Linked DNA regions of Oryctolagus cuniculus. The protein of the gene in region 2 purifies or fractionates together with the protein of the main gene of each other region. This does not show direct contact. Links are inferred from orthologs where the notes say so. Each region holds a gene or a part of one and is shown on either strand. Other genes may lie near its edges. The genes, in order: ARPC1A, ARPC4 and ACTR3B.

Region 1 (3,651 bases), on a different chromosome or scaffold from region 2:
TATGTATTTGAAAGTCAGAGTTACAGAGAGAGAGGAGAGGCAGAGAGAGAGAGAGGTCCTTCATCCGATGGTTCACTCCCCAGTTGGCCACAACAGCCAGAGCTGCACCAATCCGATGGCAGGAGACAGGGTCTCGACATGGGTACTGGGACCCAAGGACTTGGGCCATTTTCCACTGCTTTCCCAGGCCACAGCAGAGAGCTGGATCGAAAGTGGAGCAGCAAGGACTCGAACTGGCACCCACATGCACCCACATGCAGGCGGGGGCTTTACCTGCTACGCCACAGCACTGGCCCCAACAGCTTGAATCTCGAGAGGGGCTTCTGTGTTGAGCTTTTTGTTCGTATTCTCTCTCTCTTAAGCTTGCCAGCACTCAGTTCTGGAGTGTGCACTTTTCCTTTGCTTTAAGTAAGTCCTGCTACGGTGTAGCTGCTAAAGCTGCCGCCTGCAGTGCCAGCATCCCATGTGGGCACTGGTTGAAGTCCTGGCTGCTCCACTTCTGATCCAGCTCCCTGCTAATGTGCCTGGGAAAGCAGTGCAAGATGGCCCAAGTGTTCAAGCCCTTGCACCCATGTGGGAGACCCAGAGGAAGCCCCAGTCATTGCGGCCATTTGGGGCGTGAACCAGCAGATAAAGACTTCTCCCTGTTTCTCCCTCTCTCTGTATTTCTGTCTTTCAAATACACAGATAAATCTTTTTTAAAAAACCTTGCTTTCTGTACCCCTTTACGCCTCCACCTTGGATTCTTTCATACGCGGAGGGAAGAGCCTGGCTTAAGCCCAGCCAGGGCCCACTGGCCACGGTGAAAGTGCCTTAGCAAGGTTCCCTCGCTGGCCACTAGGTCTCCTGGTAAAGGATGGAGAAGAACCTGATTAACTCTGGCTCTCCCCTTGGGATTTCAGAATACATATAATGTTACCACTGGACAAAAGTTAAAGTTGGAAGTTCTCTGAACTTTGGAGCTGACTCCTGGCACAGCGGATTAAAGCCACCACCTGTGATGCCGGCGTCCTGTCTGAGAGCCACTTCGAGCAATGCCTGAGTGCTTCCAATCCAGCTTCCTGCCAACAAGCCTGGGAAAGCAGGGGAAGAGAGCCCAAGTATCTGGGTCCCTGCCATCCATGTGACAGCCCCGGCCATTGCTACCATTTGGGGAGTAAACCAATGGATGGGAGATCTCTCTCTGTAACTCTGTCGTTCAAATAAATAAACTAATTAAAAAAGGAAATTATTTAAATTTTATTATAAATATTCAGTGATTTGTTATTTCATTTTGGGTTGTAAGAGAGCTTAATTTCTTCACAAGTCTCCATGATCTGCAACTTCTTTTATTTTTTCACAAAGAAATCACAACCAAGAAATTAGAAGAACATTTTTCTGGGGGGTATTAGCCACTAACTAATTCCCCAGTGCCATTCAGAAAAGATTATTTATGTTTACAATCAGTCACTATTTAGGCTTACGTAATTCAATTTCAGCCCCAAAACTACTGTTTAAAAACGAATCATGCCAAGTTGTTCAAAAGTTTGGACACTTAATACTGAATAAAATTTCTATGGAATCTTTTTCTTACAAACTTGAGAATGCTTATTGTCAAAAAGTCAACATTCTGAATTGTTTTATAATGCCGTTTTTCAAAAAAAATTATTTAAGGAAAAGAGTAGCAAGCAAAACAATCAGTTCAAGTGACTGAATTGCAGGCTTCTGAATACTGGATAATGAAATATTGTCCAACAGTTGAGAAACCGCCCTGAACATGACACCTTATACCGAAGCGAAGTCCGATTTTCCTCTATTTGAGACCACTCAGTGAATACAAATGTAAACAAGTACTGAGTCGGACGCCCAGCTAGGAGAAGGGTTTTCTGTACAAATTCCTAAGACTGCTGGGACTTAGCTGCCGTAAAGTGTAGCCATGTAGGAACATTAACGACGTTTGTTTCTTATCTGTGCATGCCAATGAAGCTCCCAGGTGATTTCTGACAGGCAGCATTCCGCTAACCTTATTTTTAACACACATGCGGAAGCAAAATGTGTGTCTTGAATTCATAATTCAATCTTGTTGCAAACTGACTTTCTTTCCAAAGGATAAAAAATTTCTGCAGTTTTTCTGAGTTATGAAATGCAGCACGATGGTCCCTTCCCGTCGCTGCTGCAGCAGAACGCAGAGAGAGACCACGAGAGTGAAATGTGTTCCCTGCTGTTTTTCCTGGTACACAAACATGGCCACTTCTGCACTAACAATCAATGCCATGTTGAAGGACATTTACCACCATTCTGAATACGTGCCAGGCAGAACAGAGTTGCTTTCCTATCAAAATAAGCAGGAGGGAGTAGTTAAAATAAGTAGCCACATAATAAACCCTTGTATTTTGATTGGCTCGGCTGCAAGTGATTTATACTTATAAGATTCTGGTGAATTTGTACTGCAGCAGCAAGTAAAATATTGCATATACCAAGACACAGATTCGGTCAGCACATAAGCTTCAAGGAAAGGAGAACACAGTTATCTGTAAAATCCAAGGTATTCTAAGTGAACAAACACAGTGGGAAAGGAAATCACTGAGCCTCTTTCAAGCTTGATGTATATACCAGAGTAAGAACACAGCAAGTTGGGCAGAACAGAGGGAGAAGAGGAGGAGCAGCCTGCAAAACAAGTTAGGAGATCAGAGCGTGGAAACAGTACCTCTATATTAATGAGATGAGATTTAGCCCGAAGTACACATAAGGAGGAAAGATGCTCAGACAGAATGGGAACAAAAAAAGTCTGCTAATGAGAAAAGCTGGACTTACAGTTAAACCTTCGCCCAGGGCTTCAAGAAGGCAGGACGAACACGGCAGCCCTAATGTAAAAGGTTCCAATGTGGGGCTGGCATGTGGCAGTGGGTTAAGCTGCCTGCAATGCTGGCATCCCATCTGAGCACTGATTAGATTCCTGGTGCTCCACTTCTGATCCAGCTCCCCCTGCTAATGTGCCTGGGAAAGCAATGGAAGATGGCCCAGGTCCTTGGACCCCTGCCACTCATGTCGGGGATTTGGATGGAGTTCTGGGATCCTGGGTTTGGCCTGGCCTAGCCCTGGCCATTGCAGCTGTTTGTAGAGTGAACCAGCGGATGGATGATGTCTTCCTGTCCTACTCCCCATCCCCAATTGTACCTCTCAGAAAGATTAATTATAAAAAAAAAAAAAAAAAACAAACAAACAAACAAAAAAAAACATTTCACTACTGCTTACCAGTCATTCTCAGACTCGAAGTAACAAACAGAAATGAGCCGTGCTCCACTTCCCACAGCAAATTTGTTTTCTAGGGGCGACCACTTCACAAAAGTCGCTGCGCGGTTAATCCGCAGGATCACCAGGGTCGGCTTCCAGACGCCGTCCTTCTGACTCCACACGTAGGCGTTGCGGTCTGCCCCGCAGGTGACAATGCGGTCGCTCTTGGGAGCCCAGTCGATACCTGCAAGTGAGACGTAGGCTGTGTGCTTTGCCCAGGCAGTGACGGTGTGACAGTGATTGGCAGGCCGGGGCGGGGGGGCACACTTCACACAAACGCAAGGACGTTTCTCCGCAAGGGTCTGGGGCTCGGGAGGCAGGGTGGCCAGAGCAGGCAGAGCGCAGCACGGGCACTCCTTCACCCCTCCCACACTACAC
Region 2 (3,651 bases):
ATTTGGAAGGTAGAGTTACACAGAGAGGAGGTACACAGAGGGGGGTACACAGAGAGTGAGCTTCCATCCATTGGTTCACCCCCCCCAAATGGCTGCAACAGCCGGAGCCGGCCTGATCCAAAGCCAGGAGCTTCCTCCAGGTCTCCTGCATGGGTGTAGGGGCCAAATACCTGAGTCATCCCCCACTGTTTTCCTAGGCATATAAGCAGGGAGCTGGATTGGAAGTGGAGCAGCCGGGACTCGAACCAAACCAGCGTCTGTGTGGAATGCTGGCACCATAGTCAGTGGCTTTACCCACTACGTCACAGCACCGGCCCCCCAAATAACATTTAAAACAAAGTTTGTGAACATATAGGTTTAATCCTAGCATTTGTTTGTTTTTGAATTATTTTCTTTTTTTTTTTTTTTTTTTTTTTTATTTTGACAGGCAGAGTGGACAGTGAGAGAGAGAGACAGAGAGAAAGGTCTTCCTTTGCCGTTGGTTCACCCTCCAATGGCCGCCGCGGCCGGCGCGCTGCGGCCGGCGCAGCGCGCTGATCCGATGGCAGGAGCCAGGAGCCAGGTGCTTTTCCTGGTCTCCCATGGAGTGCAGGGCCCAAGCACCTGGGCCATCCTCCACTGCACTCCCTGGCCACAGCAGAGGGCTGGCCTGGAAGAGGGGCAACCGGGACAGAATCCGGCGCCCCGACCGGGACTAGAACCCGGTGTGCCGGCGCCGCTAGGCGGAGGATTAGCCTAGTGAGCCGCGGCGCCGGCCTGAATTATTTTCTTTGAAAGGCAGGGCAACACAGACAAGCACGGAGATCTTCCATCTGATAGTTCAGTCTCCAAATGCTGTGTTAGCCAGGCCTGGGACAGGCACAAACCAGGAGCTGGGAACTCCATCTGGTCCCCCACAGGGGAGGAAGGGACCCAAGTACTTGAGTCATCGGCATCTGCTGCCTCCTGGGGTCTGCACCAGCTGAAAGCTGGAATGGGAGCCCGGGCCAGGGTTCTGACTCCTGTGTGGGATGCAGGTGTGTTAGCCAGCGTCTGGACCCTGTGCAGGCATCGTACGATGTAACAGCTCCCACCAGCATGGTTAACTGCCGTTCAGAATATCTGCAGACTTGACCTAAACTGACAGGGGTCAGGTGGCGAGCGAGTGAATCACTCTGGATTGATGAAGAAAGGAGGCCAGACGGAGGCGAGTGCTGTGGTCGCTCCCTCGGTGCTACGCTGGTCACCTCTAGCTGTCCGCATTAGCTCTAGAGTTCCTGCCGTGTGGCAGACAGAAATAGCAATCAGAGTGGTTTTACAGAAAGGGGACTGAGATTGCAGCAGGGAGACTTGGCCCAGGAAGGGGCAGGGACGGCTGGGTTTGCAGCCCCTTGGGCCCGGCCTCCGGAGCCTGTGCTGTCTGCTGGAGAACATGCCCCTCACCCTGTCCTGGAGCAGGCCTGCTTGTAAGTCTTCCCGTGTTAGACGGCGGTCTCAGCTCAGGATCAGGACCCGCCGTGGTCATCACTGTGCTGTCCCTCTGTAGTACAGAGGTCTCTGCCACTTTGTGTTTTCAGGAGTAGCAAAGAGCTGCTGTTGCAACCAGTTACCATCAGCAGGAATGAGAAGGAGAGGGTGCTGATCGAGGGCTCCATCAATTCCGTGCGGGTCAGCATTGCTGTGAAGCAGGTGAGTCTGTCCCCATCCGGGCGATCAGTGGCCTGACGGGGCAGGAGACCCAGGCTCTGCTTCCTTGAATGTACCCTTAAGACGATTTGCCAGACTCCACAGTCAGTAGGATAAAGAGACCCCAACCCACACCCGTCTTCTAGGCCTTGGTCTAGGTTAGAAGGCAGGAAGCGCAGCAGCCCAGGCTGTGGGGCCGGTCTGGCGTTAGGCCGTGGAACCGTTCCTTAGGAATGTGGTTTGAGAAAGTAAGCAGCACTGGTACTGGTTTCACAGCAAAGCAGCCTCTGAAACTGAGACTTGGGCTTAAAAAAGAAAAAGTGCCGCTCGTCTGTCTGCTCAGGCAGTGGTTTGTTATCCATCACCTCCATACCACTAGGCTGGTTGTTCACCTAATTTTTTATTTATTTATTTATTTTTAGATTTATTTTTTTGTGAGTCAGAACTAGAGAGAGAGAGAGAGAGAGAGAATCTTCCATCTGCTGGTTCAATTCCCAAATGGTTACAGCAGCCGAGGCTGGACCAGGCCTGAGCCAGGAACCAAGAGCCTCCTCCAGATCTCAGAAGTCGGTACAGGGGCCCAAGCACTACTGCTTTCCCAGGCCATAGCAATGGATCAGAAGTGGAGCAGCTGAGACTTGAACCGGTGCCTGTATGTGAGATGGTGGCTGTAGATGGCGGCTTAACCCCGTGCGCCACAGCACTGGCCCCCACCTAATAGATCTTTAAAAATTGAGTTGCTTTCTTTTACTCAAATTTTTTGAAAAGAGACTTTATGCCGTAAGTGGAAAAACAGTATCACTTGCTGCAGTAGAAGGTAACTATAGAAGGAAACACAGTGAAAGCGAACAATGTTATTACGTTCCAAGTGGATACTACTGTCTGCAGAAAGCTCCAACTCTCAAGTCTGTTCTCATTGTGAAAGTGGAAGATTAACAAGTATTGGCATAATTGGAGCTTTAGATTTACAGAGAAAGTTGAAAAGGGAGAAACGTGAATTGTTGGATGTTGAGTGTCACTAAAGCAGACAGGTACCACCCAGGATTGTCGGGACAGGTACTACCTGGGATTGATCCCCGCTGGCACTTGGCCACACTCGGGGATGAAGCACTCATGAAACAAGGAAGGAAAGGCAGCTGTGAACGTAGGTGTGCACCCTGAGGGCCTGGGAAGCGGCTGTGTGTAGCCAGAATTCCCTCTCTCGGATGGGTGTGGTGGGATTACAGGCACCCCTCACAAAGGTGGGGAGACCCTGCAGTACCCCCTCCTGTCCGAGTGAGCACTCCCAGTGCCAAACCCTCCAGGGAGCTTGGGAAAACGGGGGTCAGAAGACCAGGCTGTCAGGTTCGCAGCCTAGGGCACTCAGCTGGAGAGACCGCATTTCTCCTTTGTCCTCACCAGGCCGACGAGATAGAGAAGATTCTGTGCCACAAGTTCATGCGTTTCATGATGATGCGAGCGGAGAACTTCTTCATCCTTCGGAGGAAACCAGTGGAGGTGAGGCTGCGTGCTCCTGGGTTTCTGACCCCTGGGATTCTGTTCCGGGGCCTGAGGTGGTTTCTAGGACTGGGCCCAGTGCCTGAGTTGAGAGTGTCTGTCTCAGCCAGGCGGAGTGCGCGGCAGAAGCTTAGGAGGGGCCGGGTCCAGCTCAGCTCAGAAGAGGGGAGATGCCGCTCCTTTGCCCGGAGCCTGCAGGCTGGCAGCAGAAAGAACGCAGCGAGGCAGAAGTCTCTAGGCCACGCCACCTGCTCCAGTGCAGCCCCTGAGCCACGGCTCACGCTGGGCCCACTGTTGCCTGACTGTGCAGGAAGCCTCTCCCGACTCCCTGGGAGGTCGACTTAGAATAGCCGCAGTGACTGAGCGTGTGCTGGCCCGGACACGAGACAGAGTTGGCCTTGTGCCGGGTTCTCTCTTCGATACTCTTGGATGCCCCTTCTCCCCAGTAGTAGAAGGCCTCCATCCCATCCTCTTCCTGAGTCTTGTCTC
Region 3 (2,822 bases), on a different chromosome or scaffold from region 2:
TCCACATTTTCTGATCCAGCTCCCTGTTAATGCACCTGGGAAAGCAGTAGAAGATGGCCCAAGTGCTTGGGCCCCTGCTCCCATGTAGGAGACTCAGAAAAAGCTCCTGGCTTCAGCCTGACCCAGCCTTGGCTGTTGGCAGCCATTTGGGGAGTGAACCAGCAGATGGAAGATCTCTATCCTTTCTCGTTCTCTGTCTCCCTCTTTTGCTCTAACTCTTTCAAATAAAATAAATAAATCTTTAAAAAAATAAAATAAAAAAGCACAGGGGCCGGCGCTGTGGTGTAGCAGGTAGAGCCGCTGCCTGCAGTACTGGCATCTCATATGGGCACCAGTTCCAGTCCCACTGCTCCACTTCCGATCCAGCTCTCTGCTATGGCTGGGAAAGCAGTAGAAGATGGCCCAGGTCATTGGGCCCCTGCACCCACGTGGGAGACCCAGAAGAAGCTCCTGGCTCCTGACTTCGGATTGGCTTAGCTCCAGCCATTGCAGCCATTTGGGGAGTGAATCAGCAGATGAAAGACCTCTCTCCCTGTCTCTACTTCTCTCTGTAACTCTGTCCTTCAAATAAATAAAAATAAATCTTAAAAAAAAAAAAAAGGCAGAAAGCAGAACACCAAAGACCACCGCACTACAGAAAAAAAAATTTATAAAGATTCTAACAGCTTTTATTACAATAGTGCAAGGTAGTATTTCATCCAACACTCACCAAAACAAACCATCATCTTCTATAAAACAATTCCAGGAAATTCAAACAAAAAACTAAAGATACATTATCTATAATAATTCTCATACAATACTGTTTAGTGTTCAAACTTCATGTCACTCCAATAAAGTATAATCATTTTCTAGCAAACGTGGCAAACAAAGTTTGCTCTGTTTCTCTGTTTTATTGTCTGCCTATAAATATATCAGGACATGCCTCACAGTTAGAAACTTAAACTACAGCACTCCATGACATCAATATCTATTCGTGCTTAGGATCAGCCAGTTGTACCAAATACCATAAATACAAAATGATAGGAAATATAAACATCGATTTGTATTTCAAGTTTATAACATTTTATTTACAAAAATAGGCTGGGAGGAAAAGGGTTTACAACCCCCATCATTTCCTGGGGGTGAACGATTCCACACCATCTTCTAGTGTGTTTTCTCCCCTAACAATTTTTCCAGTCGCATCTGAATCCCTTCAGAACTGCATCTGTCAACTAGAAGCTCGGGTGGCGAGGAGGAGAGAAAATGGGGGGAGCAGGAAGTGGGGTGTGAGGGAGAAAGGAACGGGCATACAACAGTCGGCACATAAATAAATGGCTTGTACTGAAAAGACTCTGCACTGTGCCTCATGCACTGGGCAATGCACGCACACTGCTCGGACACCAACACCGGACGCTGTTATGTACAGAAACTGCACTCTTCTCTGGGTTCCGAAGGACACTTGCTCCCCAATATGGCACGATCGAACGATAATCCCGGCGGACACTAAGACATGACTCCGAAGACAGGGTTGTGACGGCAGATGCCAGGGCCGTACTCTTCATAGTCCTTCTTGGCATGGCAGACCTGAAAAAACTCCGGCTGCCAGAGGCAACAGTTAGAAGGAAACTTGACTAGTTCAGAAATAAACTATTAAGCGAACGAGAAGCTCTCCTTACCCTAGACTTCCTCTCTCTCCAAACCACTCTGATAGGATTCTGACCTCTCTGACACACTAGTTATCTCATTTTTTAAAGACGTATTCACCCTCTGTTTATCTAGAGCCCACTATATGCAGGCCCCATGCTGACAGGGTGTCAGTTACTAACAAATTTGAAAAATTAATTAGGAAAATCACTGGAATTAATAATTCAAGATTTATTTTTTATTTCACTTACTCATGTTATCTACAACCCCTAGCAAGAATACTTGCAAATTAGCTATGCAACTTAAGTGATCATTAAATTATGTCCAATCTTACAGAATTAAGTATGTGTCTATTTATAGCCACATAACTAGAACATGCACTATATAACCTTTCTAAACAATAGAGGATACATTAAATTCATGAAAAATGGAATTGAAAGCTTATTTGCTTACAAAAAATTTTTTTAATTCATGCAAGTTTTTCACAGCATGCATTTTGTATGAAGTTTTTGAAGATCTGTCCTATTTAGTCACACTTAACAGAGGCTGCAGAAATGAAATTATGCAACAACCTGAAAGGACTTACGGTGGAAGCCAGCATTGAGCCTCCAAACCACACGGCATAGCGCTGCATATGATGTGTTATCACCTGAACCTCCACAGGCTTAGGCTGGAAATAAAGTAATCTACGTTTAGTCCAAGGGTACACGTGAATTGTTATTCAAGTAATCTTTTGGCTAACAGGGTAGCATCCCTCCTGGGTCTTCCTTCCCTCTTAATGGCAGAAGGCCTCCCCCTCACATGTGCATTCTCCTGCAGTGGCACCAACTACACGCATGCTGCCTCTGCAAGGAACGTCCTCCCCGCCGGCCCCCATCGCTCCAGACCTGGGTGGTTCAAAGAAACGAGGCAGGCACAGCCCGCAGAGGGCACCTTCACACAACAAAGCCCTACAGTAAGTGAAAGACCCAAGCAACTACCCTCAATCATTTCTTTCTTTTCTTCTTCTCCTTCTTTTTTTTTTTTTTTTTTTTTTTTTTTTTTTTTTTTTTTTTTTGCCCAAATGAGATAGATGTTTTAGCACTGTAGAGATAATTCTGAGTCCCCACTTGGGCAGCACACACACTAAGAAACAGCTAGCCATTCCAAAAACACTGAAGGAACTGCCCCTTCCCAGCCAGCTGGCTCTGTCTCAGGGG

Evidence for each region.
Region 1: the proteins of ARPC4 (region 2) and ARPC1A fractionate together in Homo sapiens (co-fractionation; 7 studies listed by BioGRID and IntAct, with this or other methods). This does not show direct contact. The link is inferred for Oryctolagus cuniculus from reciprocal best matches to the Homo sapiens genes ARPC4 and ARPC1A.
Region 3: the proteins of ARPC4 (region 2) and ACTR3B purify together in Homo sapiens (affinity purification with mass spectrometry; 5 studies listed by BioGRID and IntAct, counting the BioPlex papers as one, with this or other methods). This does not show direct contact. The link is inferred for Oryctolagus cuniculus from reciprocal best matches to the Homo sapiens genes ARPC4 and ACTR3B.

The regions. Positions count from the first base shown.
Region 1 is NC_091450.1:41,590,410-41,594,060, reverse strand, and holds part of ARPC1A (actin-related protein 2/3 complex subunit 1A), read right to left. Parts: intron 3,458-3,651; coding exon 3,235-3,457; intron 1-3,234. UniProt on the Homo sapiens protein: Probably functions as a component of the Arp2/3 complex which is involved in regulation of actin polymerization and together with an activating nucleation-promoting factor (NPF) mediates the formation of branched actin networks.
Region 2 is NC_091441.1:116,915,724-116,919,374, reverse strand, and holds part of ARPC4 (actin-related protein 2/3 complex subunit 4), read left to right. Parts: intron 1-1,556; coding exon 1,557-1,668; intron 1,669-3,066; coding exon 3,067-3,162; intron 3,163-3,651. UniProt on the Homo sapiens protein: Actin-binding component of the Arp2/3 complex, a multiprotein complex that mediates actin polymerization upon stimulation by nucleation-promoting factor (NPF).
Region 3 is NC_091438.1:21,038,125-21,040,946, forward strand, and holds the end of ACTR3B (actin-related protein 3B), read right to left. Parts: intron 2,294-2,822; coding exon 2,210-2,293; intron 1,579-2,209; coding exon 1,483-1,578; 3' UTR 647-1,482; downstream 1-646. UniProt on the Homo sapiens protein: Plays a role in the organization of the actin cytoskeleton.